Linked DNA regions of Saccharomyces cerevisiae S288C. The protein of the gene in region 1 purifies or fractionates together with the protein of each later gene. This does not show direct contact. Each region holds a gene or a part of one and is shown in the gene's direction. Other genes may lie near its edges.

Evidence for each region. The genes of interacting proteins can lie anywhere in the genome.
Region 2: the proteins of HSM3 (region 1) and RPN9 purify together in Saccharomyces cerevisiae (affinity purification with western blotting; 6 studies listed by BioGRID, with this or other methods). This does not show direct contact.

What each region holds. Positions count from the first base shown.
Region 1 is NC_001134.8:744,859-750,846, reverse strand, and holds HSM3 (Hsm3p), read left to right. Parts: upstream 1-3,043; coding exon 3,044-4,486; downstream 4,487-5,988. Other genes in the region: serine/threonine protein kinase CHK1, read right to left, coding at 1-1,253; UBX7 (Ubx7p), read left to right, coding at 1,476-2,786; EFM2 (S-adenosylmethionine-dependent methyltransferase), read right to left, coding at 4,736-5,988. UniProt on the Saccharomyces cerevisiae protein: Involved in DNA mismatch repair in slow-growing cells. Acts as a chaperone during the assembly of the 26S proteasome, specifically of the base subcomplex of the 19S regulatory complex (RC).
Region 2 is NC_001136.10:1,319,940-1,324,845, forward strand, and holds RPN9 (proteasome regulatory particle lid subunit RPN9), read left to right. Parts: upstream 1-2,265; coding exon 2,266-3,447; downstream 3,448-4,906. Other genes in the region: SNX41 (Snx41p), read left to right, coding at 125-2,002; BNA7 (arylformamidase), read right to left, coding at 3,515-4,300; TIF35 (translation initiation factor eIF3 core subunit g), read right to left, coding at 4,538-4,906. UniProt on the Saccharomyces cerevisiae protein: Acts as a regulatory subunit of the 26S proteasome which is involved in the ATP-dependent degradation of ubiquitinated proteins.

The sequences.
Region 1 (5,988 bases):
TTGGTAAGTTTATTCGGATTAAATTGTAAATGTCGTTTTACTAATTCATTACAATCATTTTCATCAGAATGAAACTGTAAGGCAGCGATATCATAGCTTATGAATTGCGTCCACTTAGCCTCTTGTGTCATACCTGTTCCGCTATTATAGTTCGTATTTGAATCATACGAGGTAAATGCACGTTGTGTATTCGAAACTGTCTGGAAATGCATTGAGTCGTGTTCAAGCTCAGCCAATTCGTTACCAATTGGCTGAGTAGAAATGTACCTATTATTAGAGTTTGTATCTTGAGTGAATTTCAAATAATTTTCGTTACTCAGTGAGACTTTTAAGTGAGAAAACAGTTTCTTAGCCAAGAGTTCAGGGTCATTACAGAGACCATCATCCCCAGAAAATGAAGCTCGACGTAATACCCAAGGATGTAACTTTAAAGCCTTCAATGTCACCCTCTTATTTGGGTCAGGTTGTAAAATTTTTCGGAGTAGGTTCAAGTGAGTAAATTCTATCTTTGACCAGGGTCCCCAGTTTAAATTTCCATCATTTTCAATAAAAAAGACGAAATCTTCGTTCTCTAATGAAGGTAATTCCCAAGGCGTTTGACCAGTCAACAATACGAACAAGAGGATGCCAATAGACCATATATCTGTTCGATCTGCGTAATAACCCTCTTCAGAATATAATACTTCAGGAGCCATGTAGGGTGGAGAACCCCTTTGATCCATGGATACACGTAATGTACCATCTTTCCTCCTAAATTGAGAGGCGAGCCCAAAATCAGCTAGCTTCAGATTTCCGTTCTTATCGAGTAAGATGTTTTCAGGCTTGATGTCTCTGTGAGCAACTCCACATTCTACATGCAGATAATTAATAGCACTAACGAGCTGTTGAAAGTAAAATTGGGCCACGTCGGAATCAACTCCAACGTCAGGCTCAATCTTATCAAATAGATCACCACCATCTGCCATCTCCAGAATTATCCACATATATTCTTTAGAGACATTACAATCGATAAGTCTCAAAACATTAGGATGCTTAGAACACTTCGATTGCAAAACAACCTCTTTTGTGATATCCTTGTCACTGAGTCCCATTTTTTTGCAAGTGGGAACATGAATGAATTTAACAGCTAGAATAATGGAGGGATCCATTTGAAGATGAGCATTTTTAACGCAGGCGAATGCGCCTTGGCCTACTGTATCTCCTAAAACAACATCCTTGATATGGGGTAAAGGTGACACCTGCGAGAGACTCATAGTAATACGTGCTGCCCATATACAGCAACTTATGATATACTCTTATGTTTGAAGCTGTAGTTGTTTTTATTTGCCATTCAATTATTAAAATGACATTTAAAGCCGCTCTTTATTAACTTCGGCAGGCCTCGTAGTAATGTTGAAAATTTAAAAGGGAGCTGGGTTGAGGTTGAAAGCACTTACAAAGAAGCAAGGATAGCTAAACCAAACAGCCGTAACCAAATGTTAGAAGCACTGTTTAGAGATTCTGTGGAAGAAGCAATAAACGATTCCATCAAGGAAGGCGTTGTGCTGGCCGTTTACAACACTGCACGGGATGACCAGTGGCTGAAAAGTTGGTTTAAAGGAGATGATGTCTCATTAGATACTTTAGCGGAACATAGTATTTGGTTGAGGTTGGTCAAAGACACTGAGCAGTTCCAGTTATTTGAGCAAGTATTTCCTAATGTAGTTGTACCCAGTATATACTTGATACGTGCTGGAAAGATAGAATTGATTATTCAAGGCGAGGATGACCGACATTGGGAGAAGTTGCTGGCGTGCATAGGCATCAAAGACAAAAAGGCTGGTGAGAGTTCGTCCAGGGAAACCAATCCAGGTTTGGCTAGAGAAGAAAAGTCATCCAGAGACGTCCATAGGAAAAATGCAAGAGAACGGATTGCTGAGACTACCTTAGAGATCCAACGTCGTGAACAACTGAAACAAAGAAAGCTGGCTGAGGAGGAAAGAGAAAGAATTATAAGACTTGTTAGGGCAGACCGTGCAGAAAGAAAAGCTCTTGATGAAACTCATCACAGAACCCTTGATGATGATAAGCCATTGGATGTTCATGATTACATAAAAGACGCACAAAAACTGCACAGCAGCAAATGCGTCTTGCAAATCAGGATGACTGATGGCAAGACTCTAAAACATGAGTTCAACTCGTCTGAAACATTAAATGACGTTAGAAAATGGGTGGACGTCAACAGGACAGATGGAGACTGCCCGTACTCATTCCACAGGGGCATTCCCAGAGTGACATTTAAGGATTCTGATGAATTGAAGACGCTAGAGACACTAGAACTAACTCCAAGGTCTGCATTATTACTTAAACCACTAGAAACTCAAAACTCGGGGCTATCTGTGACTGGGATGGAGGGACCAAGCCTTTTGGGCCGTCTTTATAAGGGATTCTCTACGTGGTGGCACAACGATAAAGATCCTGAAGTAACATCACAACGTGAGGAAACATCGAAGCCGAATCGTCACGAAGTGAGGTCTTCAACACCTTTATCTGGAGCTGCTTCGTCAAGCTGTTTCCAATACAACAATGTTCGGGAACCAGTTCAATCATCTGCTCATGCATCACCAATGCTGACACCTAGCGGAACCAGGTACCCATCGGAAACCAACCTTACTACGTCACGTTCTGTCTCGCCAAATGTTTTCCAATTTGTTAACAACGATCATCAAGAAGATCCTGAAGACCCAACAACCTTTAATGGTAATAATGTCCATTTAGAAAAGAAAAAGGACGAAGATAAAAAATAAGTAGTTAATGGCTTCAACTCCATTTATGACTAGTATTAGACGTGAATTTTTTTTGATTAGATTACATAAAAAAATATACAGTAATTTTATTTACATGGATTTTTGTTATAGCTGGTATTTTTATATCTTTTTTTCTGTTTCAAATGCATATAGAAAAATTGAAGAGTAAGTTTATATAAACACCTTAATTACGGGATTAAAAATAAAACAAGTTTACAACTATAATCACCGCAAAAGAACTCAGCGAAACAGGAGCAATGAGTGAGAAAGAAACAAATTACGTGGAAAATCTCCTTACGCAATTAGAAAATGAACTTAATGAAGATAACTTGCCTGAAGATATCAACACACTATTAAGGAAATGTTCTTTGAATCTTGTGACTGTTGTCTCCCTTCCAGATATGGATGTTAAACCACTACTGGCTACGATCAAGCGTTTTCTGACGTCTAACGTATCCTATGATTCATTGAATTACGATTACCTTTTGGACGTTGTGGACAAGCTTGTTCCCATGGCTGATTTTGACGATGTTCTAGAAGTTTATAGCGCGGAGGACTTAGTGAAGGCCCTTAGGTCAGAAATAGATCCATTAAAAGTAGCAGCATGTAGAGTCATTGAGAATTCGCAGCCAAAGGGTTTATTCGCGACCAGTAATATCATCGATATTCTATTGGATATTCTATTTGATGAGAAAGTGGAGAATGATAAGCTCATTACAGCAATCGAAAAAGCGTTGGAAAGGTTGAGTACAGATGAATTGATTAGGCGTCGATTATTTGATAATAATTTGCCATACCTGGTGAGCGTAAAGGGTAGAATGGAAACGGTTTCTTTTGTCAGATTAATTGACTTCTTGACTATTGAGTTTCAATTCATCAGCGGTCCTGAGTTCAAGGATATCATATTTTGCTTTACTAAAGAAGAGATACTGAAATCCGTTGAAGATATCCTCGTTTTCATCGAATTGGTTAATTATTATACTAAGTTTTTGCTGGAAATACGAAATCAAGATAAATACTGGGCTTTAAGACATGTAAAAAAAATACTGCCAGTATTTGCTCAACTTTTTGAAGACACGGAGAACTATCCTGATGTCAGGGCCTTTTCTACAAATTGTCTTTTACAGTTATTCGCAGAGGTGTCACGAATTGAGGAAGATGAATATTCTTTATTCAAGACTATGGACAAAGATTCTTTAAAAATTGGGTCCGAAGCAAAATTAATAACCGAGTGGTTGGAATTAATTAATCCGCAGTACTTGGTAAAATATCATAAAGATGTGGTCGAAAACTATTTTCACGTCAGTGGCTACAGCATTGGAATGTTGAGAAATCTTTCAGCAGATGAAGAATGTTTCAATGCTATAAGAAACAAGTTTAGTGCTGAGATTGTCTTAAGACTACCGTACTTAGAACAAATGCAAGTAGTAGAAACCTTGACGAGATACGAATACACTTCAAAATTTCTGCTCAATGAGATGCCAAAGGTGATGGGCAGCTTGATAGGTGATGGGAGCGCAGGTGCTATTATAGATCTTGAGACTGTGCATTATAGGAATTCTGCCTTGAGAAATTTACTGGACAAAGGTGAAGAAAAGTTAAGTGTATGGTATGAACCTTTATTGCGAGAATACTCCAAAGCAGTTAACGGAAAAAATTATTCCACAGGCAGTGAAACTAAGATTGCAGATTGCAGATGATTATGTTGCATAAGCGCAACTATAAAGGCGGCCTTGATTGTTTAATGTACTACCAGTATTGATTCCTGTCTGAATCAAAAACTAACCTTTTGGCGAGGTGGCCCATTCAGTTTTCTTCTCCATAAATTGTATAAATCAGTATGTAAGGTCTGGCAAGTACTTATAATTCACATTTCAATGTCTATGTAGCATGCATGATTTTTATTATAAAGAAAAACTATTCGCCTAAGCGCGTTCGTTTCTTTCCCACTAATTGCGAACGATTTGCCTATATAAATACTTAACGGCACCCCAATCATCCACACCCTCTGAATGCCGTTCTTCAACTACTTTTAAATCACTCTCTTTTAGTAATAATTTCAAAACCTCTCGTTCTTTGGCGTATTTTGCCCTTAAAGGTATTTCTAGGTGACAGGTCCCTGATGCCGCCAAAAACTTCGATATCATGTTAACTACCCATTCCGGATGCTGAGGCGAATATATCGGGTCGGCGATCAATATGACGTCAAATTCATTTTCATGTCCAAATTTATCTATAAAATCGTGAGGATTAGTCCAATCTAATATCTCTGCTTGAACGAAATCTCCTAAATTATTTAATGACACATTTTTCTTCAAATTCGTCACAATCTCGGGTAAATCCGTCACGAAGATTTCTATATTTTCAGTTCCATAAAGTTCTTTCCATTTTAAGGCCCATGAAAGTCCTACTAAACCAGTGCCCGCTCCTAATTCTAATACTTTAATCTGTTTGATGTCGCTGTTCGCTAACATGTTCACATTAGTGGTATGTAGGTAATCCAGGTGATCTACGACTAATTGTGAAAGTATTAAAGATGATCCCCATGTTTTCCAACCAAGATTATCGGCCGTTAAAGAGGGTTCATGAAGCGGTATGGAAGTGCTTAGATTTCTTAATTCAAAATATCTTACTATGGATGGTTGGGCCGTTCTCCCACAGTTTTCGGATATCCTTGAGCTCAATTCCTTAAGAAGTTCTTGTATGATTTCCTCATTCAATCCGCAACTATTATTGTATTTTTTCAATACACTAGTATAGTAGCCCAACAGTAGTTCTTTGGATACTGTAAATCTCAGCATTGGGATTTTATTGCATATCTTTTCCAACGAGTTTAACCTCTTGTTAGGCCATTCTTCTGTATACCAAGTCAAAAGTCTTTTCAGCAGATCGGGTTCCAGCCCATGACTCTTGCAAACCTCCAGTACAGATTTGTTCTTCCCTGTCTCCTGATTGAAGTTTACTTGTCTATCGGGCTTCAGAAGTATTAGTATACAAAGGATAACTTCTGGCGGAGCATACTTCACGGAGGGCAGATCCAGATTATCGATAATGGTGTCATCGTCGTCACTCTCTTCTTCATCTACAGCCGTTAATATTTCGTCACGTTGCGGTGAGCAAGGATCTTTTGGCTCTCTCTCTGCTAGATTGAACTGTAAAGCCTCAACCTGGATGTCATCAGGGGTGTACAAATCGAGAGGAT
Region 2 (4,906 bases), on another chromosome or scaffold:
TGTAATCTCCATTTAAAGGGAAAAGAGAACCAGGCAACAAGATAAAGAGATAAGGGATAGAGACATAAATAGACATCTATACACGTAGTGAGTAACAACGGATACTACTACACATACAGAAAAAATGGACTACAACATATTTGAGGCGGTACATGAACAACAAAGCAGCACATCTGACATGGATCTCTCAGAAGAAGATAATAATCCATTCGTCGGCACTCATCACCTATATGCTTCTGGAATTGGGACTACTATCGGCGAAGCTCGCCCAGAGAACGAAAATTCGCCCCCTTCTTCATCGTCTTTGCCATCTAGCCCGGCACATTCCTCTTCTGCTGGCTCTTCCAGAGCATCTACGTCATCTTCAACCTCTTCTCATGCCGTAGTGGAAGCAGATGCGGAAACTGAACCTTTTGTTTCCTTGTCGATGTCTACTACTGCTACTATTAGCAAATTTACTCCCCACGATATGAATGGGACACAGCAGATCCAAATCATTGATGCCGGCGATTTCAAAGATCCATGGGGGAAACACGCTATCGGTTACGTAATTCTATATGAAAACAACAAGATTATCAGAAGGTACTCTGAATTTCATTCTTTGAGGCAATCTCTAACTAGACTCCTTCCTACGATAATTATTCCACCCATTCCATCCAAGCATTCTCTTCTCAAATACATATGGAGTCCCATAAACGCAGCAAATGATTCCAAAATTATCTCCACCAGGAAGAAAATGCTCAATTCATTCTTGTCTAACTGTCTGAACATTCAAGAAATAAGCAACGATATTGTTTTTCAAAAATTTCTAAACCCTGAATTTAATTGGAAAGATGTTTTAAGTTCGTCGCCGATAATCATACTACCTTTGAATAACCTTTTAGCTCCACCTTTAAGCCCAACAAAACCAAGCCCCCTTCATTCTATTTTACCTATTCCATCCAACTCGTCTCTGAGAAACTATAATTCGATTTGGCAACAACACATCACAGTAAAAAGTCATAATGAAATTTCCAACCTCCCAACAGAAATTTTACAAAACGAATCTCAATTTACACATATTGAAAATTTATTCCAAAATTATAAGCGAATAATCACCCATTTATTAAAAAACATAAGATCAAATAAATCTCATTTCCACTCCTTGTCCACGTATTTTGCTGAATTAGGCGCATATTATAATGCTTTTAGTTTGGAAAATGACATAACCATGCCCAACAGCCTTCGCGAATCTGAAAACAATTCAAACAACCCAATGATGGAAATTATTAGTCATATTGAAAAGACAGGCCATTCATTCGATGTTATATACATTTCTTCCGAGATCTTAATAGAAAAGTACACCTCTATTCTTGAGGACCCCATTAATGAGTTATTGCAGTTCTTAAATGAGTCATTCAAAGTTCTAAATTTCAAGAAATTAAAGTTTTTGCAATTTAAAATATTAGAGAGGCTAATTATCGAAAAAGAAACGAAACTTTCGAGTCTCACTGAGATTGAAAACCAACTGCAGAAGATTAATGAAAGTTTAACGCGGTCGACTATATTGACAGATGAAAATTACAAAGATACAAAGGCTGCTGACCTGACATTTGTTAAAAAGGACGTAAGATCGCTATCGAAGTCAAGTTCAAATTCAAGCTCCAGTGGACACCAAAACGAAATTCATATAGGCGCAAGTAAACTAAACTATAAAACGTCTACGCCAACAATGAATCTCAATAAATTAGAAATCAAACAATTGACTGAACAAGAAAGATCTAAACAGATCAAACAGTTGAACCAAGATTTATCCAAATTGAAAGATTGTCTATCAATCTGTATATCAGACATGCTAGAAATTAACAATTCGTCATACAACAGCTTAATGCATACATATAACCATATTAATTTGACCATTGGAAAGATCTTGAAACTTTTCGCAGCTAGCTTCAAAGCATGGATCAAAGAATGTCTGAAGAATTGGAAACTGGCAAAGTTACAAATCGACGAGGCCCTATAAAAAGCATTACCGTCACGCATCGTGTTGCAAATAGCATATACATATATATATATATATATATACATATAACGTATACGTTAGAAAAATTTGAATACACACATTCATTTATCCTATTATTATCATTTTCATTCTTACCCGCTCCCCGCTTTCATCCGGTGGCAAAAGTAAGAACAAATAAAAGCTAGACCTAGATTGAAGAAACTATTAAGTACCAAAAAGCAAACAGTGGGCACACGCGAGGAAACCACATTATATTTCGCAAGATGTTTAATAATCATGAAATTGACACCATATTAAGCACTCTCCGCATGGAGGCAGATCCCTCTTTGCATCCTTTATTCGAACAATTTGAGAAATTTTATGAAGAGAAATTGTGGTTCCAATTGTCCGAATCCTTGACTAAATTTTTTGATGATGCTAAATCTACACCATTGAGGCTCAGATTATATGATAACTTCGTTTCTAAATTTTATGATAAAATCAACCAATTGTCAGTAGTAAAGTATCTACTTGCCTCTTTGAAGGATTCTAAGGATTTCGATGAGTCTTTAAAATATTTGGATGATTTGAAGGCTCAATTTCAAGAATTGGACTCTAAAAAACAAAGAAATAATGGATCAAAAGACCATGGTGATGGTATTTTGTTGATAGATAGCGAAATTGCTAGAACTTACCTGTTAAAGAACGACCTCGTTAAGGCAAGAGATTTATTAGATGATTTGGAAAAGACATTGGATAAAAAGGATTCCATTCCATTAAGGATAACAAACAGCTTCTATTCTACAAATTCCCAGTATTTTAAATTTAAAAATGATTTCAATTCTTTCTACTACACAAGTCTATTATACCTTTCTACCTTAGAACCATCTACAAGCATTACTTTAGCCGAACGTCAACAATTGGCCTATGATTTGAGTATCTCAGCATTGTTAGGTGACAAAATCTATAATTTTGGCGAACTATTACACCATCCAATAATGGAAACTATAGTCAACGATTCCAATTACGATTGGCTTTTCCAATTATTAAATGCTCTAACCGTTGGTGATTTTGATAAATTCGACTCATTGATAAAAGTTCAAATATCAAAGATTCCTATATTGGCTCAACATGAATCATTTTTACGACAAAAAATTTGCCTAATGACATTAATTGAAACAGTTTTTGTCAAAAATATTAGGATGCTTTCATTTGAAGATATTTCAAAGGCTACACACCTACCAAAGGATAATGTCGAACACCTGGTCATGAGAGCCATAAGTTTGGGTCTATTAAAGGGTTCTATTGACCAAGTAAATGAACTCGTTACCATCTCCTGGGTCCAACCAAGAATCATAAGTGGTGACCAAATTACAAAGATGAAGGACAGACTGGTTGAATGGAACGATCAAGTAGAAAAACTGGGCAAAAAAATGGAAGCTCGTGGCCAATCCATCTGGGTTTAGGCCATTGGCAGTTATATATAAAACACACACGCACACATATATATAAATGCAGAAATAAAATCAACTATCAACAAATATTGTCAAAAATATACTTCGCAACTTTACCATTCTTATAAACATCATTATGCAAACCCAAATCGTCCAAATACAACTTGAAACTTAACTGATAATCCTGAAGACAAGAAATTAAACAATTAGTTTGTCTTAACGTTAATAACTCGTCGCTATAAGAATGCACTAGGTGCATATCAATACTGAAGCGAGAAAGGGCTTTCTTCACGTAAGGCATTACTCTCGAGGGCTCTTCCTCGTACATTTGAATACCATCAGGGAAGGCAAGTCTTGTAAAACAATCATACTCTGGGTATTCTACCAACAGTTCCTTTAACGAGTATATACCATCCAATAGAAATACTCTCTTCACGATCTGCAAAAGTCCCAACATTTGCAATTGCGCTTCACTCATTTTTTCTTGAGGATCTTTGAGTGCAGCTAATATCTGCCAAATAAAGGTAGCTCCAACGGAATGTCCCACCATATTAATGTTCGTTAATCCCTTTTCTTTAACAAGCCTTGTTATATTTGACACAGCATCATATAAGTTTCTTGGATTTGTGATCTCTGGTGATAACCTGTATTCTATAGAGTATTGACAAACCGTTGACTCAGTATCCATTGATTTGATGGTATTGGCTAATTGATTAAAATCATTGGGCGTATTCTCAGGATCGTTCCATGCACCTCCATGAATGTATATGACAGCCTCTCTAGTGTTTTGTGAGATTTCTTGGAATGTCAATGTCTTGTTGAATAGTGTTATATCTGGTGAAATGGCTCTTACGGTATTTGACATATTCACGACAGCCTCTGAGCTTTTCCTTGCTTTGATTTTTTAGCTTGAATGGATTGCAACTTGTTGTAATCTTACAATCGTTAAAAATTTTACCATGCCGTGCGTGCTTTATAGAATATTGAACAATATTCTTTTAGGTATAGATTGATTAGTTTACATACTTTCTTTCTTAATATCTACAATTTTTATATGAGAAGAGTAACATTAGAAAACAAGTGCAGAGCATATTCTGTGCATCTATTCCTTAACCTTAGGTTTGGACCATTCAACACGTAAAATTAAATTCATATAACCCCTACCATCCAAGAAACGTAAAGCTTGTTCGGCAACTTCTTCGCTCGAAAAGGTAACAAAGGCGAGACCTCTTGATTTACCTGTTTCTTTGTTTCTAACGACAGAAACTCTTGGAATGGGTGCGAATGGGAACAATAACTCTTCTCTCAAACTATTTTCATCGGCATTTTCATTAACTTGCATAATCTTCAAAGTACACATATCATCACGTTCTCTAGAGTCTCTGTAAGCATCGGATGAAGGATCTCTTGCACCAGCACGACGAGAAGGTGGAACATACTGCCCTGGGATGGAACCAGCTCCGCCAACTTG